Linked DNA regions of Lonchura striata. The protein of the gene in region 2 purifies or fractionates together with the protein of the main gene of each other region. This does not show direct contact. Links are inferred from orthologs where the notes say so. Each region holds a gene or a part of one and is shown on either strand. Other genes may lie near its edges.

What was found. Proteins that work in one complex are often made in the same cells at the same time.
Region 1: the proteins of ZRANB1 (region 2) and STRIP1 purify together in Homo sapiens (affinity purification with mass spectrometry; 4 studies listed by BioGRID and IntAct, with this or other methods). This does not show direct contact. The link is inferred for Lonchura striata from reciprocal best matches to the Homo sapiens genes ZRANB1 and STRIP1.
Region 3: the proteins of ZRANB1 (region 2) and MAP4K4 purify together in Homo sapiens (affinity purification with mass spectrometry; 3 studies listed by BioGRID and IntAct, with this or other methods). This does not show direct contact. The link is inferred for Lonchura striata from reciprocal best matches to the Homo sapiens genes ZRANB1 and MAP4K4.

The regions. Positions count from the first base shown.
Region 1 is NC_134632.1:1,223,113-1,230,977, forward strand, and holds the start of STRIP1 (striatin-interacting protein 1), read left to right. Parts: upstream 1-4,849; coding exon 4,850-4,969; intron 4,970-6,740; exon of another isoform or gene 6,741-6,803; coding exon of another isoform or gene 6,804-6,857; exon of another isoform or gene 6,858-6,864; intron 6,865-6,937; coding exon 6,938-7,007; intron 7,008-7,267; coding exon 7,268-7,342; intron 7,343-7,698; coding exon 7,699-7,833; intron 7,834-7,865. Other genes in the region: AHCYL1 (S-adenosylhomocysteine hydrolase-like protein 1), read left to right, coding at 825-903, 1,297-1,417, 1,884-1,890. UniProt on the Homo sapiens protein: Plays a role in the regulation of cell morphology and cytoskeletal organization. Required in the cortical actin filament dynamics and cell shape. Part of the striatin-interacting phosphatase and kinase (STRIPAK) complexes.
Region 2 is NC_134609.1:29,350,685-29,358,594, forward strand, and holds the start of ZRANB1 (ubiquitin thioesterase ZRANB1), read left to right. Parts: upstream 1-4,895; 5' UTR 4,896-4,990; intron 4,991-7,910. UniProt on the Homo sapiens protein: Ubiquitin thioesterase, which specifically hydrolyzes 'Lys-29'-linked and 'Lys-33'-linked diubiquitin. Also cleaves 'Lys-63'-linked chains, but with 40-fold less efficiency compared to 'Lys-29'-linked ones.
Region 3 is NC_134604.1:87,603,747-87,611,369, reverse strand, and holds the start of MAP4K4 (mitogen-activated protein kinase kinase kinase kinase 4), read right to left. Parts: upstream 3,017-7,623; 5' UTR 2,439-3,016; coding exon 2,382-2,438; intron 2,020-2,381; coding exon 1,954-2,019; intron 1-1,953.

The DNA.
Region 1 (7,865 bases), on a different chromosome or scaffold from region 2:
GCTGGAAGGCAGTTTTAAGCTTCCCCCAGACAGGTTTGAGCCCTCCTAGGACAGGTTTGAGACCCCCTAGCATGGGTTTAACATTCCCCAGCACAGGTTTAAGCCCCTCTAGCAGCGATTTAAGCTCCCCCAGCATGTGTTTAAGCTCACCTAGCACAGGTTTGAGCTTACCTCAAAGCAAGGCTTTGTTTGGGCTGGGAACATGAAGGGGGCTGGTGGCACTGGGAACATGGGACTGGGAGCACTGAGGGGATTGATGGGGCTGGGAACATGGAGGGTCTGGTGGCACTGGCACTCGTGGGGAAGGACAGCCAGGCTGACAGTGGGGAGTTCCCTTATCCTCACTCCTGTCAGCCCAAGGGGACAGGGAACAGGCCTGTGTTTTGGACTTGGTTCCCAACAGTGGAAGCCAGCTCTCAGGGGATGCAGTTTCATGTGTCCTGAAGGAATCTGTCTTGGTTTTTGAATGCTGCCAGTTTCTGAGGAGCAGCCCCTCCATTTCCATGTGCCACAGCAGCTGGGTGATTTAAGAGGAGAAGAGCTGCTAACCCTAAGCCATCCTCATGTTTTTCCCCGAGGTGTTGAGCCCAGATGCTGCAAACAGGCTGGGTGGCATCTCATCCCTGCCCTCTGATCCCTCCAGTGGGATTGTGGAGCTCCAGACAGGGAGGTACCCAGGGTGGGAGCCTTTTCCCTCAAGGCATGTTGGAAATGATTGCACTGTCCCTCCAGCTCCCAGATCCTTCTCTGCCTTTGTGAGCTTTGTGTTGCCCAAGCTGTGGACATTCCTGACTGTTCCCAGCTTATCCCTGTGCTCTCCACAGGCTCTGGCTCTGATTGAGCTCTACAACGCTCCCGAGGGCCGGTACAAGCAGGACGTTTACCTGCTGCCAAAGAAGATGGGTGAGTGAAGGAACTGACTTTTCCCTGGGGAATCCGTGTGCCAGCAGTGTCAGAAGAACTCAAACCTGGGCTGGGAAACACTTCCAGAGGGACAGTGAGTTCAGGGAGGCAACCAGAGGCAGTGACCTTAAAATACGTGAGGGTTATTTGATTTATCTTTGTTAGTGTTCTGCAGCGTGGGAGGCATCCCACATCCTGCAGCCTTCCTCTCTGGGATTTTCCATGCCCTCCTTGTGCCTTTAGGGGCACGTCCAGCCCAGGCTTGGGCTCAGCCCTGCTTTGGGTGATGGTGAATTTGGGGTGCTGCCCAGCCAGACCTTCCAGTCATCACCTGCCCATGTTGTGGTGGGGGTGTGGACCCCCTGATCCCGTTTTCCCTGTTCCCATTCCCAGATGAGTACGTGGCCAGTTTGCACCTGCCATCGTTCGACGCCCACCTGACGGAGCTGACGGACGATCAGGCCAAATACCTGGGACTCAACAAAAATGGGCCTTTCAAACCCAACTACTACAGGTGAGAACTGCTGGGGCAGGAGCTCCCAGCTCCCCGCTGGTTTGGAGCTCTGCCTCCAGCTCCAGGGTCTCCAACACCACAAGGATGTGGAGCTGCTGGAGCGTGTCCAAAGGAGGCCACGGAGATGCTTTGAGGGCTGGAGCCCCTCTGGGAGAGCTGGAAGGCTCCCAAAAGAGCTTGGAGTCCTTCCAGTGCCTGAAGAGGGCAGGGTTAGATGGGATATTGGGAAGGATTCGTGGCTGTGAGGGTGGGAGGGCCCTGGGTGCACAGAGCAGCTGTGGCTGCCCCATCCCTGGAAGGCGAGGCTGGACAGGGCTTGGAGCAACCTGGGATAGTGGAAGGTGTCCCTGCCTGTGGAATCAGATGAGCTTTAAAGTCCCTGCCAGTCTGGAATCTCTGGGGGATCCCCTTGCCCTGGCACAGCAGCACCTCCCATGTCCCTCACTGTCCCTTCCTTCTCTCCTAGATACTGACGGGACCATTTCCATGAAGGACCAGACCACACAAGGCAACATTTGAGAGATTATTTTGAAAAATCATTTTCATTTTGGTTTACCCTTTTTTTTTTTTTTTTTTCTTCACCACCACCAGAACCTGTTTTTACATTTTATCTGTGACTTTAAGGTCAGGTTTTCTTTTCTCCCCCTTTTCCATGATCACATCCCTGTCTGATCTTGCCAGATCAACCTGGGATTTGCTTCTTGCTTTCATGTGGCTGAAGCTGCTGATTCCCAGCCCTGGCTCCAGGAGGGGCTTTCCCTTTCCTGCTGGGCCGAGGGCACTTCATTCCTGCAGCAATTGTTTATTTTGGCTTTTATTTTGTACTTTTTCCCACCTTTCCAGCCCACATCGGTCTCAGCCGGGCTCCCTGTGGATCCGGAGATGCTCTTCTACCTTATCTTCTATTTCTTTGTGTGGATTATCTGCAACTTCTAAATTGCCTTAAAGAGCCCAGTTTTAGCTGCTAGATCCCTGCTCCGGGTGCTTCCTGGGAGCAGAGTGGCCTGCAGGACACCTGGCAAAGGGGGTGACTGTGCCCAAGCCCAGCCCAGGTCCCTGCGCTGAGGTGGCCCAGGTTTGGTGGCCACTGGCCTGGGTTTGCTGGCCACCTGGGTCCAGGGGAGTTCAGTGTTTCAGGGTGCTAATCTGAATCTGGATGGGGGTCGCTTTCCCAGCATTATCCTCATCTCTCCAAGGTTTTTTGTTTGTTTTTGTTTTTGTTTTTTTTTTTTTTTTTAGCCAAACTGCACCTTAATTGAGTTTTAAACATTTTTTCCGTTTGTTTATTTGTTTTTTTTCTCCCTCTTTTCCTTTTTGATCCTTACAGAGATGTTTCAGAGGGCGGGGATTGTTTTTAGATGTTGTAAGAGGAAGCACTGGGGACGCGGCCGCCTTCCCATCCCCCACTGGGAAGTGCCGGGTGTTGTTGAGGGTGTCTGGGGTGGGTTTTGGGGGTGTTTCACTATTTTATTTTTGAGCTGGATGCGGAGATGAGCCTTCCCCATATCCCAGCCCGGCCCCTCTGCTCCCTGTGACTGTTTTCCTCACCCTCTCCCCGTGTGTCCCAGCTGCTCCCATCACCTCCTCCGTGCCCTCCCTGCTGACATTTCCCTTTCCCAGCTTGTGCTGGGGTTTGGGAAGCTCCTTCCAACCCACTGAGGTTCCTCTGGCTCCTGTTCTTTCCGCACCCAATTGAGGAAAGGAGCTGCTGGCACCTCCTGGGTCGTGGAGCTGCTCCTTCCCCTGTTTGCAGGGATCCACCTGGACGGGTCCTTCCCAGGGAAATGGCAAGTTTTGGGGGGTGCAAAACTCCTTGTGGGGCCAGGGGATGGGAGAGGTGCTGAGATCATCCCCCTCCATGTCCTCTGACTGTTCCTCTCTCCCACCCTGCGTGGTCTCCTCCTGGATAGATTTTGGGGATCACCTGCCTCGCTCCCCCACAGATCCCAGGGATCACCTGGGTCCCTTCCACCATCCCCCAGACCTCCGTGGGGACGGCTTAGCAAGCTGGGATGGGCGTTTGTGGGAAGGATCGGGAGCATTCCCCCTTCCCCGTGAGCCCCCCGCGCCCGGGGGTCCCCGTTCCCACCCATCCCGGGTGGAATCTCGGCCAAGGGCTCTGTGTCTGTATAAGCCATGCTGGGGGAGCCTGGGGGTGATGGCGGCGGCAGCGGCGGGCCGGGAGCGAGAGGTTTATTTTGTATAGGAATGATTTTTAATGAATGCAATATTAATCCTTGCAGATGAGCAATAAATCATTAAAGTCTAATTAAACTATTAGGAAAAATGAAGTGCTTTTGGTTGTGTTCCTCAGGGGCGACCCGGAGTTTTTTCCAAGCCCAAGGGCAGGGCTGGAATCTCCCTTTGGCCATCTTGGGGCAGGCATTGGGTCCCACCAGAATTTTCTGAACGTTGGCACAACTCTGGATTTTGGGGTCTCACTCTTTTTAAAGCCCCAAGGGGCATCTTAGCTTGGGGTTTAAATCCTGTCAGGTTTAACCTCTGAGCCCCATTGGACCCCAGTTTGGGGTTGGAGCCCCCAGCCCCGTCACTGGAGCATTCCTTTGTTCCAGACCCTTCCACTGGAGCATTCCTTTTTTCTAGGCCCTCCAACTGGAGCATTCCTTTTTTCCAGGCCTTCCAATTGGAGCATTCCTTTGCTCCAAACCCTCCAACTGGAGCATTCCTTTGTTCCAGGCCCTTCCACTGGGGCATTCCTTTGTTCCAGGCCCTTCCACTGGGGCATTCCTTTGTTCCAGGCCCTTCCACTGGAGCATTCCTTTATTCCTGGCCCTTCTACTGGAGCATTCCTTTGCTCCAAACCCTCCAACTGGAGCATTCCTTTGTTCCAGGCCTTCCAACTGGGGCATTCCTTTGTTCCAGGCCCTTCCACTGGAGCATTCCTTTATTCCTGGCCCTTCTACTGGGGCATTCCTTTATTCCTGGCCCTTCTACTGGAGCATTCCTTTGTTCCAGGCCCTTCCACTGGAGCATTCCCTTATTCCTGGCCCTTCCACTGGAGCATTCCTTTGTTCCAGGCCCTTCACTGGGGCTCTGCCCCTCCTGCCACTCCCAGCATGGCGCCCTTCAGCCCCCGGGCGCGCCCTGGGCGAGGCGGAAGTGCCACACCCAGCATGGCCGCGCCCGGGGCCGCGCCGCGCCCAAGATGGCGGCGCGGGGGCGGAGCCCTCCGCCCGGCCGTGTGCCGCGCCGTCCGTGGCCGCCGGGGGCGGGCAGCGCCGGCCGTGACGCGGCCGCCGCGGCGGAGCGGCGGGGCCGGCGGGCGGAGCTGCACCGCAGCCACCGGCGGCACCGGCGCTCCCGCAGCTGCCACTCCCAACATGGCGGCGGCGCTGCCCCGGCTCTCCCTGCCGCTCCCGCGAGAGGAGGGGGTGAGTCCTCGCGAGAGCTCGGCGCGGCGGAGCGGCCGCCATGGAGCCGAGCGGCGGCCCCGGGCCGGGCCCGGGCCCGGGGAACAACAAGGGCCGCGGCGGGGCGGCCGCGCCCGGGAGGGGCCGCGACTTGGCCCGGCCGCCGCGCAAGGACTCCGAGGTCAGCGCCGCCGCCGGGAGTGGGGCGGCCTTCCCGGGCGGGGCGGGCCGCGCCGGGCCTCGTCCGGGGCCTGCCCATGGGTGCCGGTGCCCGGGGGCGGTGCCGGTGCCCGGCGGTGCCGGTGCTCGTGGATCCCTGTGGGTGCCAGTGCCCGGGGGTGCCAGTGCCCGGCTCTTCCAGCCCTGCCCGGGACCGGCCCGGCCGCTGGCTCCGGTGCTCCAGTGCTGCTCGCAGGGCCGCCCCTCGGTACCGGCTCCCTGGCGCTGTGGCCCCGGGCTGTGGAGCCGAGAGGCCTCTCCCCGCCCGCAGCTGCCTGGTCTCGGTCGGTGCCGATTTCCCCTTCATCCATCCATCCATCCCTTCCCCAGCTCCGGGCCGCCAGGGTGGCTCGGTCGCCTCTCCCAAACGGGAGTGACAGGGCTGGCCCGGGGTCTCGCTGCCCACCCGGGGGTCTTCTCGGGGTTAGCGGTCGGCAGCAGCCCGGGGTGGGCTGTCGGGTCCCGCTGCCGTGCTCGGAGCAGCGATGGACCCAGCAAGAGGTGACCGACCCCCCCAGGGACACCCGGCGGTGCTGGGGTCACGCTGAGCCTCGGGCTCGCAGGGTTGTGTGGAGCTGAGGTATCCCGGGGCTTTACCAGAGCGTTTCATTCCTGGGATGGCCCTGGAGCCGTTCTCTCCCAAGGCTTCCTCAGAAAAGTCCCTGGAATGCCAGGGGAGGGGTGTGAGGGGGGATCTTGGAGAACCTGAGGTTGGGCTCCCAGCAGAGCAGAGCCAGCACAAGGGGCTTGGAGCTGCCCCTCTCTCAGAGCCTGGACTTCAGGGTTGTTCTGATGTGGGTCTGTCCCTCTGTCAGGAGTGGGAGCCCCCAAATTTAGGAGTTCTGCTTGTGGATTCATTCAAGGGTAGGTGCCCCAAAATTTGTGTGGGTTTGGTTCTGGGTGTGCCCCTTCTTCATGAATATGTGCCCCAAAATTTGTGTGGGTTTAGTTCTGGGTGTGCCCCTTCTTCATGAATATGTGCCCCAAAATTTGGGATTCTGCTGTGGTTTGGCTCCTCACTCAGGGGTGGGTGTGCCGAGAGGGTTCTGGTGTGGGTCTGCCCTGTGCTCAGGTGTGTGTGTGTGTCCCAGAATTCTGCTCAGGGTGTGCCCCTCACTCAGAAGTGGATACCCCAAAATTTGGGCGAGTTCTGGTGTGGATCTGCCCCTCACTCAGAAGTGGGAGTCCCATAACTCAGGAGAATTCTGCTCTGGGTTTGCCCTTCATTCAGGAATGAATGCCCCAAAATTTGGGTTGGTTCTTGTATGGGTTTGCCCCTCACTCTGGGGGGGAGGATTCTGTTCTGGATCCTCCCAGTGCTCAGGAGTGGGAGCCTCATAATTCAGGAGAGTTCTGGATTTGTCCCGTGCTCAGGATCCCGAAATTTGTGAGAGTCTTGCTGTGCACCTGCCCCACTCAGCACAGGGTGCCCTGAAAAGCTGTGGGTCGATGGTCTTGACTTCTGTAAAGGGAGCTGATATTTTGTGCTCTGAAGGTTCTCCTGGCTGTTTTTGCAGCCTCTCCAAAGCTGTTTGTAGTTGTTTCATCCTCACTAATCCCATCTGCTGGGACGGCACAGAGGGATAGCCCAAATTTTCCCAAATTTGTGCAAAATGGGTGAGCTCTGAGAGCTCCTTGCTCTCAGAGAATCCTCTCCCTGTGTCCTGCCGTGTTTGTGGTGCTCTGGGGGCTCCCCCCGTGCTTTGGGGGTGCTGCAGTGGCTCCATGCGGCACAGCCCGTGGAGACGCAGGAGGTGGGCTGGAGTTGCCTCGGTAACGTTTGTGCTGCTGCAGGAATGTTTTTGGTCCCTAAACCAGTAAGACCAGCCCTGGATTTGCAGGAGGATGAGGTGAATTGTGAGTGTTTACAGGGATTTTGGTTTTCCTGGAATATGCTGTAATGGAACTGATTTTTCCCCCGTGTTTTCAGGGCTATTCGGAGTCGCCAGACCTGGAGTTTGAATATGCAGACACGGATAAATGGACAGCAGAGCTGTCAGGTAAGGAATTCTTCTCTGATGGATCAATTAATCCACCATTATTTCCTCCACTGGTAGAATTAAAGGAACTCTGTCAATTCCAGTATCGCTTTAATATTATATTTAAATGCTGTATTGATGTTAAAAAGATATGTGTGGTTCATATTTTTGGCCTTGCACTAGGTGGGGTTTTATTGCATTTTGATATTTTGGCTAAAACTGCAGTTCCCAGCCGAGTTGCAGCTTGGTGCAGGTTTTTGGAGCTTGTCCTCTTTTGGCAGAGCTGTACAGCTACACAGAGGGGCCAGAGTTCCTGCTCAACCGAAAATGCTTCGAGGAGGACTTCAGGATCCACGGTAAGAGCCTTTTTCTGGATTCCTCTGCCCCTGGGGAGGGACAGGGACTTTCCTGGAGAAGAGCCTGGTGTCAGAGCTGACTGGGGTGTGCAGCTACTCCCGAGGGGCAGCTTCGCTCTCTGCTCCCTGTGACAGGGACAGGAGCCAGGGAAGGGTTGGGGCTGTGCCAGGGGAGGCTCAGGCTGGAGATCAGGAAAGGTTCTTCCCCCAGAGGTGCTGGCACTGCCCAGGCTCCCCAGGGAATGGGCACCGAGGCTGCCGGAGCTGCGGGGGCGTTGGCACGGCGCTCTCAGTGACCCGGTGAGATTTTGGGGTGGCCGGTGGGGCCGTGCCCAAAGCCCTGCTGTGGTTTGCAGTGCGGGACAAGAAGTGGCCGGAGCTGGAGCGGACGCAGCACCGCACGCACGCCATGCGCCTGCTGGACGGGCTGGAGGTGACCGCGCGCGAGCGGCGGCTGCGCGTGGCCCGCGCCATCCTCTACGTGGCACAAGGTGACAGCGGCACTGCCCCTGCTCCCCCGGGC
Region 2 (7,910 bases):
CCATTTATCTAAGTGCTGCTAGTCTTCCTTGCTCCTGAAAACAGAGGATGAAGTGATGGCAAGAGCAGGATCTGAGGAGCTGGTTGAGTAGGGAGCTCTGCATATCCAAAGTTCAGCTAGTGAGAAATAACCATCTGGTGAGCATGTACATCCCTGCTCCTGGATAAGCTGAGGATGAATCTCCTAATGGGAGCCAGCGCCCTGCCTGAGAGCGAGGAGTTACCAGGGTAAAGAGAATTACATAAGAGCAGGATCTGCACTTAGACATCACTAACTAGATGTAATCTTTGCACTCAAGCTGAGGTAATTCTGCTGCAGCACAAAAACACTCCATGCCAGCAGAAAATAATTAGGATTTTGGTTTTTTTTTTGTTTGTTTTTTTTTTTTTTTTTGCTTACCTGAAGCACAGTTTTGTGTCGCTGTGTCTCTCCAGCTACTACACGCAACAAATGTGCTCCTGTGGAATGTTTCAACGCTTGCTTGCTAATTATAGCTTTGGGTATCATTTGCTTGGGTATAAACAGGGTGAATCAGAACAGAAACGTCAGGGAGGGTTGAGGGAAAGGCCTTTTACTAACAGCAAGCATCAGGATTGTAAAAAATCAGGGCATCTTGTAAGGCAAAGCGCTCGAGTTTCATAGGAGACAGTGGCAAATTGCAAGTCAGGGTTGCACCAGAAAAATCCTAAATTTATAAATTCTTTGTAGGAAAGGAAGGGAACTTCCCAGCCATCTGCCTCGCTGGCTGCCTGCAAGGCTCACACCTCATAGGCACAAAGGGTTCCAGGCTGCTGGGGCAGCTCCAGGCTGGCAAGGATGGGCATCAGCGGGGCCCTGAGCTGGATAATCCTGCAAAATCACAGCATTTGTGCACGTTGCTTGGGTTTTACCAAATCTGTGAGCTCTGACAAGGAGATTTACTGTCAGTTCTTGTCCTGGAGGAACAGGAAGAAAAGAGATTGGAGTTAGGATGGCAAAGGAAGGTGGGGAGTTACAAGAACAGGGATTTATGGTGTTTGAAAAGTGGGGAAAAGAGAAAGCTGGAGCACGTATATGTGCAAATGATATTTTTATGTCATGGTTCTGCTGTGGGTTTATTGTGAGGCACAAGGGGCAGTTGTACAACTTCTGTGTGAAGGCACACGAGCTGCAAGGCCTGAGCACATCCAGCTCTGTGAAGGGAGGTTCCCAAAATAACAGCTTCAGCTGTCAAATGAGTATGACTGTTCCAAATTCCTTCCTAGGGAGTTAAAATTTCTCCTTAAACTGGTGAAAGAAAATGAAAATTTTGGGTGGATATAGGAAATTAGCACTTGCTTACAACTTCTGCTACCTCTGACAAAAATAGAATTATCTTTCTGACATTTAAAAAAAGAAAATATAATCAAATACCAAATCTATTGAGGACTGGACTATCAAGCCATGTAGATTTTGATTTGTCTCCAAATTAGAAGTTGTAAAGCTCTTCTTGGATAAATTATATGTGTAAATATCAATGTTCTAACCTGCTGAAAGGTCATTCCTCTTGTATTTTATTGTTTAAGTCTAGAACAAATAGCAAACTCCTGCAGGGTAAACCTGGAAGGAGACACCAGCAGATTTTTGAGCTAAAGCCAGAGACATGGCCTTAGCAATAAAGTCACCAACATCAAAACATCAGGTCATTGGGACATGCAGCCTAGAATTTGCTTTTGCTCTGGTAAATATTTTCAAATTCAATTTGCCCACATGTTATTCAAATACTATCCAGGGACCTTTTTCACTACTCTGAATGCTTCTGTTCTGCAGAGATTAAAATCTCTTAGAATCACAGAATTCTTTGGAATTATATTTTTTCAGTTGGTTATAACCCTTTTCCAACCCAAGCCCCTCTGTGAGTCTGTGGTTCTAAGATGTTCCTTGTATTTTCATATATTTTTATGCAGTCTAATATATAACAGTTATTTCTGGACATTGCCATTGTTGCACAGTTGAGGCAGCATTTAGAATTTACCCCAACATCTCTTCCATCATCTTGCCTAGATGCCAAGAGCAAGGGATACATTTTCATTTTCTGGATGATTTCTAAGCTGAGAGATGGTAAAATTCCTTATGACAAGGAATATTTATTTTACATGACTTATCCAAGTCTTATTAAAAAAAAAAAAATTGTCCCCCTTTTTTCTACAGCTATGTTTTGAGAAATGCACCAACTTGTTCAGTGGAGTCAGAAAGAGAATTTAGTAAATAATTAGTCTGGGAGAGAGAAATCACATTACCTTCCCCCTGCAACAGTTCTCAATGTTTATAGGGAACTAATTTAATTGCAAATGAAGACAAATTTCTATTTCAGTCTCCATAAGTAATTACATTTTACTTGTCCTGACTCCAGTCCTGGTTGTTTGCTTTCTGGACAAAGGGATTTTCTCTAGCACTGCTCTGCTGGAACATCTCAGGTGCTTTTCTTTATGGTCTGAGGGAGAAGGGGTGGATCCAGCTGGTCCAGGACGAGTTTCCCAATTCAACACCAAGCCCAAGGCATTGTCTACCAGAGTCTGGGAATGGGGAGTGAAACCATGGAAATAAGAAAGTGCTAAAACATCTGAGAAAGCCTGAAATAAAAAGTAGTAAATGCAGTGGGGGGAACAAAATATCATGTATCAAAAGATGTAAAACCCACGAAGGAAAAACAAGGATGTGGAAAATACACATTTTCTGTCAGTGAGCCTACAAGGGCAGCTTAAGGAAGATGCAGTCTCGCAATTTTTGTGTGGAAAGCAAAAAAAAATATTGCAAAGCCAGCACAAGGACTGAACCCAAGGGCTGGCAGAGCTGTTGTTGCTGGTCTTTTCTTCTCAGAAGATAAATGGGTTCTGCACTGTGGGGCTGCTGCTTGGATGAGTCTTTTTGGGCAGGGTGAACTCCATCCTGAACTGCAATCCCACACATTCCTGTCTTGGGTCAAAATGGCTGGAATTAACACGTGGAGGAAGTGTTTAAAATTTATTTCACAGAATCAATTTAGATTAAAAAAGACCTTTGAGACTGAGTCTGACTTATGACCCAACACCACCATATCAACCTGACCATGGCACCTGCTGGATTCTGGATTCCCATCAATTCCTTCAGTTGTTCCACAGCGAAATATTTCAATGAGTGCTGGTAAGAAACAAAGGACAGAGTCATAAGCTGCAGCCAGTGGAGGTTCAGGTTGGACATTAGGAGGAATTTCTTCACAGAAAGGGTGATCAGACATTGGAAGGGGTTGCCCAGGCAGGTTTGGAGTCCCTATCCCTGGAGGTGAACTAGGAAGGGCTGGATGTGGCACTGAGTGCTCCGGGCTGGGGACAAGGTGGGGATTGGGCACAGCTTGGATGGGCTGAGAGGGCTTTTCCAACCTCAGTGACTCTGGGATCAGCTGCCACAAACCAATGCTGCTGCCTGGCCACGTGCCATCCTAAGGAGGTTTTTTGAGGGATTACTCCCACAGGAACCTCCGATGTCCATCTGTGATGGACAAAAACCCTCTAACGTGTAAAGTTAGAAAGCGTGTGTTTATTGTGTGCAGGATCGCTCCCAAATCCACACCGCAGCTTCCAGGTGATTACAGAGCCTTTTTATCCATACAAGTATTGAATACCCAAAATGCAAATACATATTTATCATTTTGGTACATCCCTTTCCTCGCTTCCTATGCTAATAATTTCAAAAGCTATTAAGCATGCGTGGTTTGTTCCTTGAAATGGGTCGGTGTCCCTTTCATGGGGGGGGGTCCCAAAATGAGGAAGTCAATGAAGTCTTTCTTGTTCTGACCTTTCTACCTTTTCAATGCAAACATGACAAATTAACTCTTGGTAGAACTCCCATTCCTTGTCTTCAGAACAGAGGAGGCCCACAATTGTCTTGCATTCCTAAAACCTATTTGTCAGTTCCTATACTCCTCACTATAAACCCAGCTAACTGAACATCGTGCTGACAAGCCACCAATTATTAGCTAACTCCTAACTCTTCACTTCATCGAGGCCTACTCATTTAATTAACTCTAGTGAGGCTTATCTCTAACTAAAAATATAAGCTCCTCTAAAAATCTCTTAAATTCCTTAAAATTTCACGTTTCAGACGTGCGGGGCAGGGGTGTGGGCACGGGAATGGGCAGGGGAGGAGCGGGCAGGGCCGGGCAGGGCTGGAATCGCCCCAAGCGTGCCGAGGGACCCGGCAGGGAGCGGGGAGGGCCGGGAAGGGCCGGAGCCGCCCCTGGGCTCCCTCGGGACCCGGCAGGGAGCGGGAAGGGCCGGGCCGGGCCGGGCCGGGAAGCAGCGGGCAGGGCCGGGCAGGGCCGGTCGGTGGCGGAGCCGCCCCTGGGCTCCCTCGGGCCCCGGCAGGGAGCGGGAAGGGCCGGGCCGGGCCGGGAAGCAGCGGGCAGAGCCGGGCAGGGCCGGTCGGTGGCGGAGCCGCCCCTGGGCTCCCTCGGGACCCGGCAGGGAGCGGGAAGGGCCGGGCCGGGCCGGGCAGGGCCGGGCAGGGCCGGTCGGTGGCGGAGCCGCCCCTGGGCTCCCTCGGGACCCGCCCTGAGGGGCCGTCCCGGGAGGCGCCCCCTGGCGGCCGCCCTGCGCGCGGCACCCCGCGGCAGCGATGACATCACCGCCCTGCGCAAAGAGCCGCCCGCCGGTTGGCGGAAGGCAGGAGCGGGCCCGGCCAATGGGCGGCGCGCAGGGCCGGCAGGCCGCGCTGACGTGCAGCTGGGCCGTGCGGGGGTTTATTTTGCTTTGGGCCGCTCCGGCCGCCGCCATTAGAGGAGTGCGGGCACAGCCTTCCCCCCCTCCCCCCCCCCGCCGCGCCGAGTGGGAGCGCCCGCGGCCGCGGCAGCCGCGGCGCCTCGGGAGAGACCATGTCGTGAGCGGGGGGCGGGGGGGGGGAACGCGGGAGGGGGGGGGGGCGGCGCGGGGCGCAGGCGGCTCCCAGTGCTCAGAGCGTGTTCCTGAGGGACTGAGGGACGGATCCCGGCGGAGAGGTAAAGCCCTGTGCTCTCGCTGCCCTCCTCGGGCAGCGCTGCGGGGCGCGGGGGGAACGGGGGCGAGCAGAGCCGGGGCCGGCCGGGACCCGCGGTGATCGGCGCCTCCAGCGCGGCCCCGATCCCGCTGTGTCCGTGTCCCGCGTGGAAGGGTTTGCTGGGGGAAGGCAGGCTGGCACAGCCTCGCTGCGAAGGCGGGGACTCGGGTTTTCCCTCCCGGACCCCGGGCTGTGGTGCCTCGGTGTGCCCGGTGGGATCGTGCCTGCGCTGCCTCCCTCCCGCTCTGGTTTTGTTCGTGGTCGCGTGTGCCGCTGTGGATCCGCACGCGGTGCTGGAGTAGGTGATGGCACTGATGGTTTGTGTCTGTGGGTTTTGGGTAGCAGAACTAACATGGTATTGCCTATCCCATCCTTGGAAGTGTCCACGGCCAACTTGGACGGGGCTTGGAGCAGCCTGGGATAGTGGAAAGTGTCCCTGCCCATGGCAGGGGGTTGGAACAAGATGATCTTTAAGGTCCCTTCCAGCCCAAGCCGCTCCGTGATTCATTCTGTGATTCTGTGATCACCTATTGTGGATGCTTTTTAAAGTACAGTGTGGGAAGTATTTCAAAATCGGGCTCGTCTTTGGGAACCGAAGTCCAAACAAAAATCAGGAAAGTTGGATTAAGGAGCGAGGCAGACCTTGGTTAATCCACGCTGCCAGCGCCTCCCTGTCTGCTTCCACAGTCCCAGACTGCAGCAGCTTCCTGGCAGGATAAGATAAACTTGTCTGCGGAGGTCATGGATGTGTCTGCGAGTCCTTTGGATGTGTCTGTGAGTCCTTCCTTGGGAGTGACAGGATCAGCCTGTCCCCACATCAGTCACGGCTCCCTTGGGAGCAGCGGGTGGGAGAAGTGATGGAGGAGATGGATCCGGGTGTCCTGCACGGCTGGCACAGCCCGCCTGCTGAGAACTTTCTGCTGCCACGGTGGCTTTCAGCGATGGCGATAATGACAACTTTTTCTGGAATTCTTGGGGGTTGGTGTGGTAAACAAACGTTGTTTGACGGGCTTTGTGCTGTGCTTGAACAGTCTCTGCTCACCAGCTGCCTGCCGTGTCACAAGTGGTGGAGCTGCCATGTGAATTTAATGCTTTGATGTGTTTGTTGGGGCAAAAATTGAAAGGTGGGATGTCTTCTGTGTAGTTACTCCCTCTTTCTCAGAGGTCACTGTTGTGAGCAGAACCTTTTAAGAGTAGTTCAGGAGAGATCTGCTGTAATCAGGTTTGTTTTTCCATCTGCTTATCTGTCTCACAGAATATATTTGTGAGGCTTATTTATTTCCCCCCCCCCCCTTTTTAAGTAATTACTCAAACAGGGGGAGACAGGTGAGCAGCAGGAGGTGTTCTGGAACTCTTCTGCTGCCCTTCTTCTGAGGCCAAGCTGAGTTGGTGTTTCAGCATGTGGAGGCTGGCATCATGTCATACATCAAAGATCACCTCTGGTTTAAGCCCCTCACAGCATTCAAAGAGAATAAAGCCTTTGGATGCTTTGCATTTCGTGGGATTTATGAAACTAATTGTGTGGTGTAGTTCTCTTGAAGGAGAAAGAAATTGCTGCTTTACTTTCCTTGTGCTGCTTAAGCAAGGGCGAGTAGGTGGGGGTGACACCAGCGGGGCCGTGAGCTGTTCGTGTGGAGCTGTGTCTATTAGCATTCTCTCAGAAGTATAATTACAAATATTAATGTAATTGGAATGCTGAGTGGCACAAAAACGTCAACGGGGTTCATCACAGAAGCGTGACTTTAATTGGAGACTAATTCCAGCTCAGAATGGGTCAAGGGGACATTTTTAGCTTGTGTGTGGCCGTTCTTATTGTATGTTGTTTGACCTGTAAATTCCTCGGGGACAGGAATTCCCACTCATCTTTGGTGCCCTTTGCAAGAAGGATCTGTAAATAAATCAGAATTGTAAGTAGGAAATACTTCACTGATTGAATGGGAGGTTATTTTTAATACAGTCAATCAAATAATCAAATGTTCTCTCAGGCACTTTAAAGTGAGATTTACTGGCTCCTTCATGTGGTATTAACTTGGGTGATAATGTTTCTCTTTCCAGCTTCTCTTTGTCATATCGGTTCTAGCACAACTTCAGATCAATACATTCCTTGTCGTGATGTGCTCTCTGCTAATCACAGCAAAGCAGCATTTAAACTGCTACTGCCAGTTCTCTTAATAATCTCATGCCCTTTCCTCCCCCCAAATTTGAAGACTGGGTTATTTTGGGCTGTTCAAAATTGATGTCAACAAGTAATCCTCAGTTTAACTAGATGAATTATGATCCACAGTCTCCTGGTACTAAAATGGAACTAAACTTCAGTTTGGCAGCTGAAAATGGCTGGCTTAGCTGTAACAGAGTTCTTAATTTTTCTTTTTTTTTTTTTTTTAATAGTACTGTGTATGAGGAGGGAAACAAGGCAAAGTTGAAAATAGAATTTTTTTCCAACACAGCTGCTGAAGAGTTTGCCATTTCCCTTGTCAGATGGCGTAGCTTGGTAAAATCAGTTTAGTAACATAGATAATTGTAACTTTGTCATGTCAGTTGAATGGAATTTATTACACCTTAAAACGTTGTCTTCAAATTAAGATTTCAAACATTTGGGATCCAGACACTTTGCTGGTACTTTTCATAGCTTTTCTTGTGTAGCTGTCATTGCTTGAGCTTGCACAGGATTGTGACTGTGCTCATTTTTACATCATCAGTGGCTGGAGTGCAGCTGCTCTATGTAGCTAATTCTTTCGGAGCTTTCTTGATGTGCAAGATTAATAATTACCTCTTAGGGGTCTACCACTTAACATGCTTAAAAAGAAGAACTGTCACACGTCAACAAGAATTCTGAGAGTGTGTTAATCTATAATAATATTTATGATTTTGTGTTTCCTTCT
Region 3 (7,623 bases), on a different chromosome or scaffold from region 2:
AGCATTTTTCCTAGCAAAAAAAGTGCCCAAGAAAAGGTTTGGGATTTTTGTTTTGTTTTGTTTTTTGCAACAACTTTTGCAACAACTGATTTTTAATTTTTTTTTTACATAATTTCATTACTTAAAAAAAAAAAATGCTTATCACAGAAAGAAAGTTTTTTTGTTTGGTATTATTTGTTTACATACAGCCCTGTTAGGTGTCCACATTATCAGTGTATGTACACAAATGTAGACAAATACCTAAGAAGAAGCAGTGCCAACCCAAACTTAAACACCTGTCAATCCATTACTGTCCAGCAGGTTCTATAGCAAGAAAAAAGGTTGCCTGTTGCTCCCCATTATCACAGTGACACTGATGACATCAGGTGTTCAACTCTTCCAAGACAATAAATGCATGTGCCCAGTTTCATTTCTAATACTAACTATTCTGGAAGAGCTCTACCTTACCTAAAGAAAACTAAGTTTAACATTTCTATTGTCAAGACTGTTAAACTAAGGAGAACTTTGCTCATTATTCAAAAGCATTAACAAGTACACTGAGAAACAATACACTAAATTGCAATAATTAACAGGAGAGTTTCAACTCACACATTCACACCCCATTATTTTTCTTTTTTTTTAATAAGGGTTCAGATGATGCAAGCTCTGGGAGCAAAGGATTACAGAAAAAAGTTGTGTCCTTTCAAATGGCATAAAAAAATTAAATAGTCGAGGTTGTGTCAAAGCTTTTACTTATCTTCCCCGTCTCCTGTGGCCCTTTGAGCCACATTCTTTTTCCCACCTTTGTACCAACAGCAGCAGTCTGGCTATTCCAGCTCAAGTCTTAAAAAGCAACTAATACACTGCACAGGCAGACCAATTCTCCATCAGGAAGGCTGAGGTTCACGCCCTCAAAACAAACTGACATGTGTTTCATTTGCAGAAGAGGCAGCAAAGCACTTTATTTACTGGAGCATTAGTTACCGGAGCTGCAAGCAGCAGTATCTTGCCATCAGGGAAACGCGGACCAATTACAGTCCCTTGTTTATAAGCAAAAAGAAAAACAACAACAACAACAAAAAAACAACCAAAAAACAAACAAGCAACTAAGCATCTTCATCTCTCCTTCTCTCTCCAAATGCATCTTGCATTTCTACAGTTTAAGGCTAGAGCCTTCAATCTTTAGCCAAGTATTAAGTCTGTGCAAATAATTAGTCCTCCTGGTAGCTAGCACTCACTGCAAAATCATGCAAGCTCAAGATTTGTTTGTTCCACTGACTGCACACTAAAGGGTAAAAAAAGAAAAAAAGAAAAAAGTAGGCTAGTTTCACACCCACATGGGCACTCTCTGATTTCTATTTTTTAAAGTCATACACTTGTCAAACAGGTTATTCTGGGAATTCTGATTTCCACAAAATAAACTTCTCTGCTTTGGTCACTTATTATTGTCACTCTGCACCCCTCATCTCTGCACAGCCCATCAGATGCACACACCCCCAACTCCAGAGCTTCAACACTCACAAGGAAACCGGGTGACAGTTTTAATTATGGCAAATGTCTTTGTCTAAAGTCACTGCAGCAGCAGCAACTTCTATAAGGATTTCCAGCAGCAAAGCTGAATAAGCCTGTGGACGTGTTTGTATAACCGAGCCAGACTCTGACAGCGTCCACTTGGTTTGGTCATTTCTCTGAAAGGAGCACAGAGAAGAATAAGGACAATAAAGGCGTATTTCATCATTACAGGATGGGTACTTGGGAGAGTAATTTGTACCCGTCTAAAAAAGCAGAAGCCAAGAGGCTGACAAACTTGACAAGGCCAGCAACAATGACAAGGGCAACACTTCTACCACCCCTCACTGTTCCGGTTGCCAGTGCGGGTGGCTCGCCTTCAGCCGTGTGCTCAGCCCGGCGCAGACACCGGGTACCCTCTGGAAGATCGGCAACAATAAAAGGAGAAGAAATTCTGACACAAACCTTGTAGACTTGCCCGTACGTGCCATTGCCAACCACTTCCACCAGTTCAAAAATCCCAGCGGGGTCCTAGGGGGAGGAAGGGGCAGAAGGGGCGGGGGAGGAAAGGGGAGAAGAGAAGTGGGGTTACATTTTTGTTCAGGCGATGGCTGCTGGCAGAGCCCAGCCAGCGAACCCGGCTGCTGGCGGCGTGCAGCTGTTGCGCCCTGTTTTTCCACGCACATGCCAATACATGCAAACAAAGGAAAAGCAGCCCAGGGCCGCGGTCCCCCGCCCGCCCCCGCGGGAGGGCTCCCCCCATGCGGCCGCGGCCCCCGCGCCCGGCACCGGCCCCGGGCCCGGCCGCTCCCACCCCACCGGCCGCGCAGCCCCGGCAAGGGGCGCGCCGACCCCGGGGGGCCCCCGCCCCGGCCCCCGGCACCGGCACTCACCCGCAGGGAGGAAAGGTCGATATCCACCAGACTTTTTGCAGGAGAATCGTTCGCCATTTTCCCGTCTCTTCTTTTTTTTTTTTTTTTTTCTTTAAATATTTTTTTCTTCTCTGTTAAATAATAGCGAGGCCGCTCCCCCCTCCCTGGAGGAGCTGTGAATTGCGCGGAGCTCCGCTCCTCTCCTCCCTTCCGCCCTTCTTCACTCCAGCCCCGCTGGGTTGAAACTCTTCAGCATTGGGAGGGGTTGGCGGGGGGGGGGATGATGGATAGATAGATGGATGGTGGGAGGAGGAGGGAAAGGGAGGTGAAGGAAGGGAAGGAAGAAGGAGAAGGGGTGCTGCGGTTTGTCCGTCCGTCCGTCTCCCCGCGCTGCAGTGCGGGGCTGGATCCCCCCGAGGATCCCGGCCGGCCGGTCGGTGGCTGGGCGGGTGAGTCGGTGGGTGCCCGCGCGTCCCCGGCGGCAGCGGGCTCACACCATGTCGCGGCGGCGGCGGCAGGAGCGGCGCCGGTGCCGGCAGCCTCTGGCAGCCTCACGATGCGCCCCGCTCCCTGGCATGGCACGGCACGGCTCGGCCCGGCCGGCGGCGCTCACGCCGGGAGCCGGCAGTGGCAGCCGCGGCCCCGCTCTCGCATGGGGGGGCGGCTCACGCCCAGCGCCGCGGCGGAGCCCCCGCCGCCTCCGAGCCCTCCCCGCGGCGCTGCCCTCGCATCAAACGGCGCCGGGCACCGGCGGGCAGCGGCTGCGCGTCCCGGCGGCGGCGGGGCAGGGGCGCGGGGCTGGAGCGGGGTGCTGCGAGCCAGACAAAGATAGCCGGGGAGGAGGAGGAGGAGGAGGAGAAGGAGGAGGAGAAAAAATATACTGCGAGCGGAGAGAGAGAGAGAGAAGAGAACAGCTCCCCCTTCCCTTCTCCAACAGGAAAAACCGGCGGAAACGCGCCCGCACCAGAGCACTGCTGGGTAAACTCGCGGGGAGAGAGAAAGAGAGAGGGAGGGAGCCAGCGGGCGGGGAGGGAACCGGCCGCGCAGCCTGCCCGCCCCGCCGCCCACAATAGCCCCGCGGGGCGGGGGCGACCCCGGGCGGCCCTTCCCCGCCGCACCGGCGCTGGGCCCCGCCCGCGGGAGCCCCACGCGTGCCCGGGCCCGGGGCAAGGACGGAGCCCTGCAGCCCCCGCCGCGCCTCTGCGGGACAGCGCGCTCCGTGGGGGCCTGTCACGGCTCGTATGCACCGTGTGGTGGGGATATTTTCCCATCCCCGGTGAGATGACCAGCAAAATGTCACAGTTCCCCCCTGCCTCGAGATCCCAGGCCCACAGGAAAAAAAACATTATGTCTCATGAAGAGATTTCTACAGAAAGACGGCCAAATCCTGGCCCACAGAACCAGACCCATCTCTCATATTTTAACACATCGTTTACTGACAGAGCTGTCTCAGGCCCCCTTCCCGCCCAGAAGAATCCTCTAGCAGAATTTGAATCGTGGAAAAATCTCATTAACCTCACTTGAGCAAGACACATCAGGCAGTTTGACACAAGTGTAAACCTTGGCAGGATTTGTTTCTCATTGAAGTTTTTTATCACACTGATATGGCAAAAGTGTTACCTGCTTGCAAGAGGTCGAGTTTCCTGTGGGAATCGGGGTTTTCCTGTCTTCTAATTTAACCACAAAATTACATATACATAGCTATAAGTATTACAGAAACATACTTTTGAAACAAAGCAAACCTGTTGAGCAGAAAGTTTAAGGATAAATTACCATAACAGTTTAATGGCATACTTCATTTTCACTTTAAGTGTAGATACAAAGAAAGGAAACTTCAGCCTAGACCAGGAAACTTCATTCTCTGTACAGGAACCTATAGTTAGGAAAAGGCAAGTAATTTCAAATGTATTTGATGCTGTGTCTGCCCAAGTGCATGCACAGGAGTAAGATCAAGTCTAGAGATGCAGTAGGTTTTGAAAAGTGTATTTCTACAAAGATTTATTATCATTGGTCTGGTTTGCATTACATGGTAACTCAGCCTTTTTATGTGTAAGGGAAACCTTGGTAGGTCAGATCCATTTCCTGTCTGTCCCAGCATCCATCTCCAGATTTAGCCAGTAGTAGACACTGAGAGAAGATCACAGGGATACTTTAACCATCCAGTAATACTTCCCTGGCTTATTTTACCAACTCTCTACAGCTCAAGGAGCTCTTTAGCAGCATTTGGTGTCCCTGCATTTTGTTTTTTTTAATTGTGTTTTCCTTCCATTAGATTGGCTGTTTACTTTCTGGATTCATACATGCTTGTGGCTCTCGCAGTGTCCTTTGGCAGGGAGTTCCAAAGGTGAGCTAACATGTTGTGTGGAGAGCACCTTTTGCTAAACTAAAAAAAAAATATCCTGCTGGTTCTTGTTTTGGAAGAGACACCAATCGTTTCCTATTCATTTTCTTTATTATGTTCATTTTTTAGACTTCTGGTGTGTTTTCCCCTTGGTTTTTGCCAGCTAGTAAGTTCTGGTCTTTTTAGTGATACCACAAATGGAACTCATTCTATATTTGTCCTTCATTGAACCATTTCTAATACCTTCCTTTTTGACATGGGTAAACAGATTTCCATCTCATGTTCATGCTGGCTTCCCCGTGCAGCATCATTGTGATGTCCTCGTTTCTAATCCGCTCCTGATCCTTCCCTTCTTCACTGTTGGGTATGAATATGACATTCCTGTGGCACATGCCTATTATAACTCCAGGATCCCCTTCTGTAATGTTAATACCACCTCAGAGACTGTTGTTGTGCATTTCTGAATGCTGAAAGATTTTCAGGCCCAAATTCTGAATTCTGAGTTTTCCAAACCCAGGACGTAACAACTTCCTTGTGCCTCTGAAAAGTACAGGCCAGGATTTTAGAGATGAGGATCTGAGCCCATATACACATTTTCACCATTCATATTTTCACCAACAGATGTCATTTCACCAGACCTCTGATGTGGCTCCACCACAGTGTTCCCTCTCTGCTTTAAGTTTTTATTTTATTAGAGTGAGTTCAGTTCTTTGGCATGTTTTTGTATTACACTAAAGACTGCTAAAGTGCTAGCAACAAGATTGTGAATTCTTGAAAAGTAAGCCATCCTCTATCTTTAGGGGAAAAAATAGTTTTCATAAAGCAGTAAATGCTTTATGAAGAGAGCTTCCTGCTAGTTCCCAGAGTGAAGCACCACGATGCCTCAGCTTCCTTTTTCTTCTACTCAAGTGAAGGGATGAAAAGCTTGCTTTTTTGAGGAAGAAGCCTCTTCAGCTGTGGCCAAAACCACTCTCTTCACATGTTCATCATGCTCTTCACCAGCTCAGTGTACATAACCAGTTTGAAAGTCCAAAGGTTGAAAGACCAAACCTAAAACCACTGGAAAGAAGAAGAGCAATCTGTTTTAACTCTTCCTCATAGTGAAACCAGCAATGCTGAAGTGAGACAGAGTGAGACAGCCATCAAAAATCATAACGAAGACTAAATGCAAGGAAATGCATTTTCAACCCTGTGGATCGTCTCCCCACAGAGCACACATGGTTTTTCTAATGACAAACTTCAGAAGATTTATCAAAATATCTGAGTCCACTGGGGAGCAAAGCAGGAGAAAGCTGGGACCTGTGTGCTGCTTTCCATCACCCTCAGACACAGTTGCACCCATTCCTGCTCAAAGTGCTCATAGCAGTGAAGGGAACAGAGGAGTTGAAGCTCCCTGAGCAGTTTCAGTATCCCTGAAAGAGGGGTCCTGAGCTTCCCTTTCTCTGACCATTTATTCCTATTGAATGGTACCCTTGTGTGGATATGAGCATTCCTACAGCTACATAGTGAGCCAGGACTCATAGCAAAGCTAACCCACAAAAGGAAAATAACTTCTAATGTTATTATTGATCAATTCCTTGGGCTGGTTCATCACGTGTCTCCTTGAGCTGATGTGTTAACAAAAGGGAAACCGAGGGGTCAGAAACTAAGTGGAGGGCAGGAACTGTGACCACAGCATTGCCTCTTGGTTGCGGCTGTGGCTTAAGCCAATTTCAACTCTCAGTGGACCCATAGGGGTAAAACTAGAGAAACTTCCTTCCTTACTGGAAGAGACACTGTGGGAGTGATGGGAACTCAACATTTATGTTGTAGCCACAAAAGAAATTCCTTGCCCTCTATTTTTTTTCAAGTTATTTGAAATTGTCTTTGTTCTATAATTTTCCACTTCTAATATGCCAGGGCTCTAATCACTGACCAGAGATGCAGAGGTCATCAACTGCACTAACTTTTTATGAGCTTAATCATCAACAGTATTCAAGAAGATGAGTAAAGAGACAGGAAGTTCTGAATTTTCATTTTGTTCTACTACTGATTCATCCTATAGCCTTGGGGCATCTCATTTCCTGCTTCCACTCTCGTTCTCTATGTGGAAAATGGGAGTGATTTTGACCTCCTTTATAGTGTGAAGTATTAGACATGTACCCTGTCATACTCTGGGGAAATTGTTCTCTCCTTGGCTGAAACAATCCCTGAGGGAGGCTCAAGCTAGGGTGATAAGTAACAGAGGACAGGGTAGTGAGTGGGGCTGAGTCAGGCTTTGCATAGTCCAGCTCTCCTGCTGCACATGGAGCAGAAGGAGGCTGGGAGACTTTTCCTCATGCTATTTATTGCAACACATACTGGGAGTAGATCAGTTACAAAAGGATGCCATACAATCAGCCTCCCTCTAGCTTAGGCTCCTCTCCTCCTCTGCTGTTTCCACCACCCCTATCTCACACCTCCATGTGAAAGCTGCTCTGTGTGATCTCTGCAGGCACACCCAGGTTTTCTCATGCTGCATCTTTACAATGTCATATGGGGTGGACATGTTCCTGCAGCTCTGATTGCCCAGTTGCGCACACACTGCTGCTGGTGACATCCTGCTGCTTCCCGCTCCTCAGGATGCTGCACTGCCTCCCACACTGATGGGTTTCCCTCATTCCAGCATGCAGGAATCAGGCTCAGGCACATAGCCGGGCCCAAGCTTGGGGATGCACATGTAGATGATGATGTAGGTGACATGAAGATGCACAGGGCCAGAAAGGAGCAGCTTTCCACCAGCTGTACTCTTTGAGGCCATCACTGCCCACACCCTGGCTGGCTTCCTCTGTTAGCATTTTGGGGACTGGATTGAAAGGACTCCTGAAATACAGGGGATGTCTAAATATAGCAATCCTGCTAGTGCAGGAAGAGTGGCAAAGTGAGTCAGAGCCTTTCCACAGC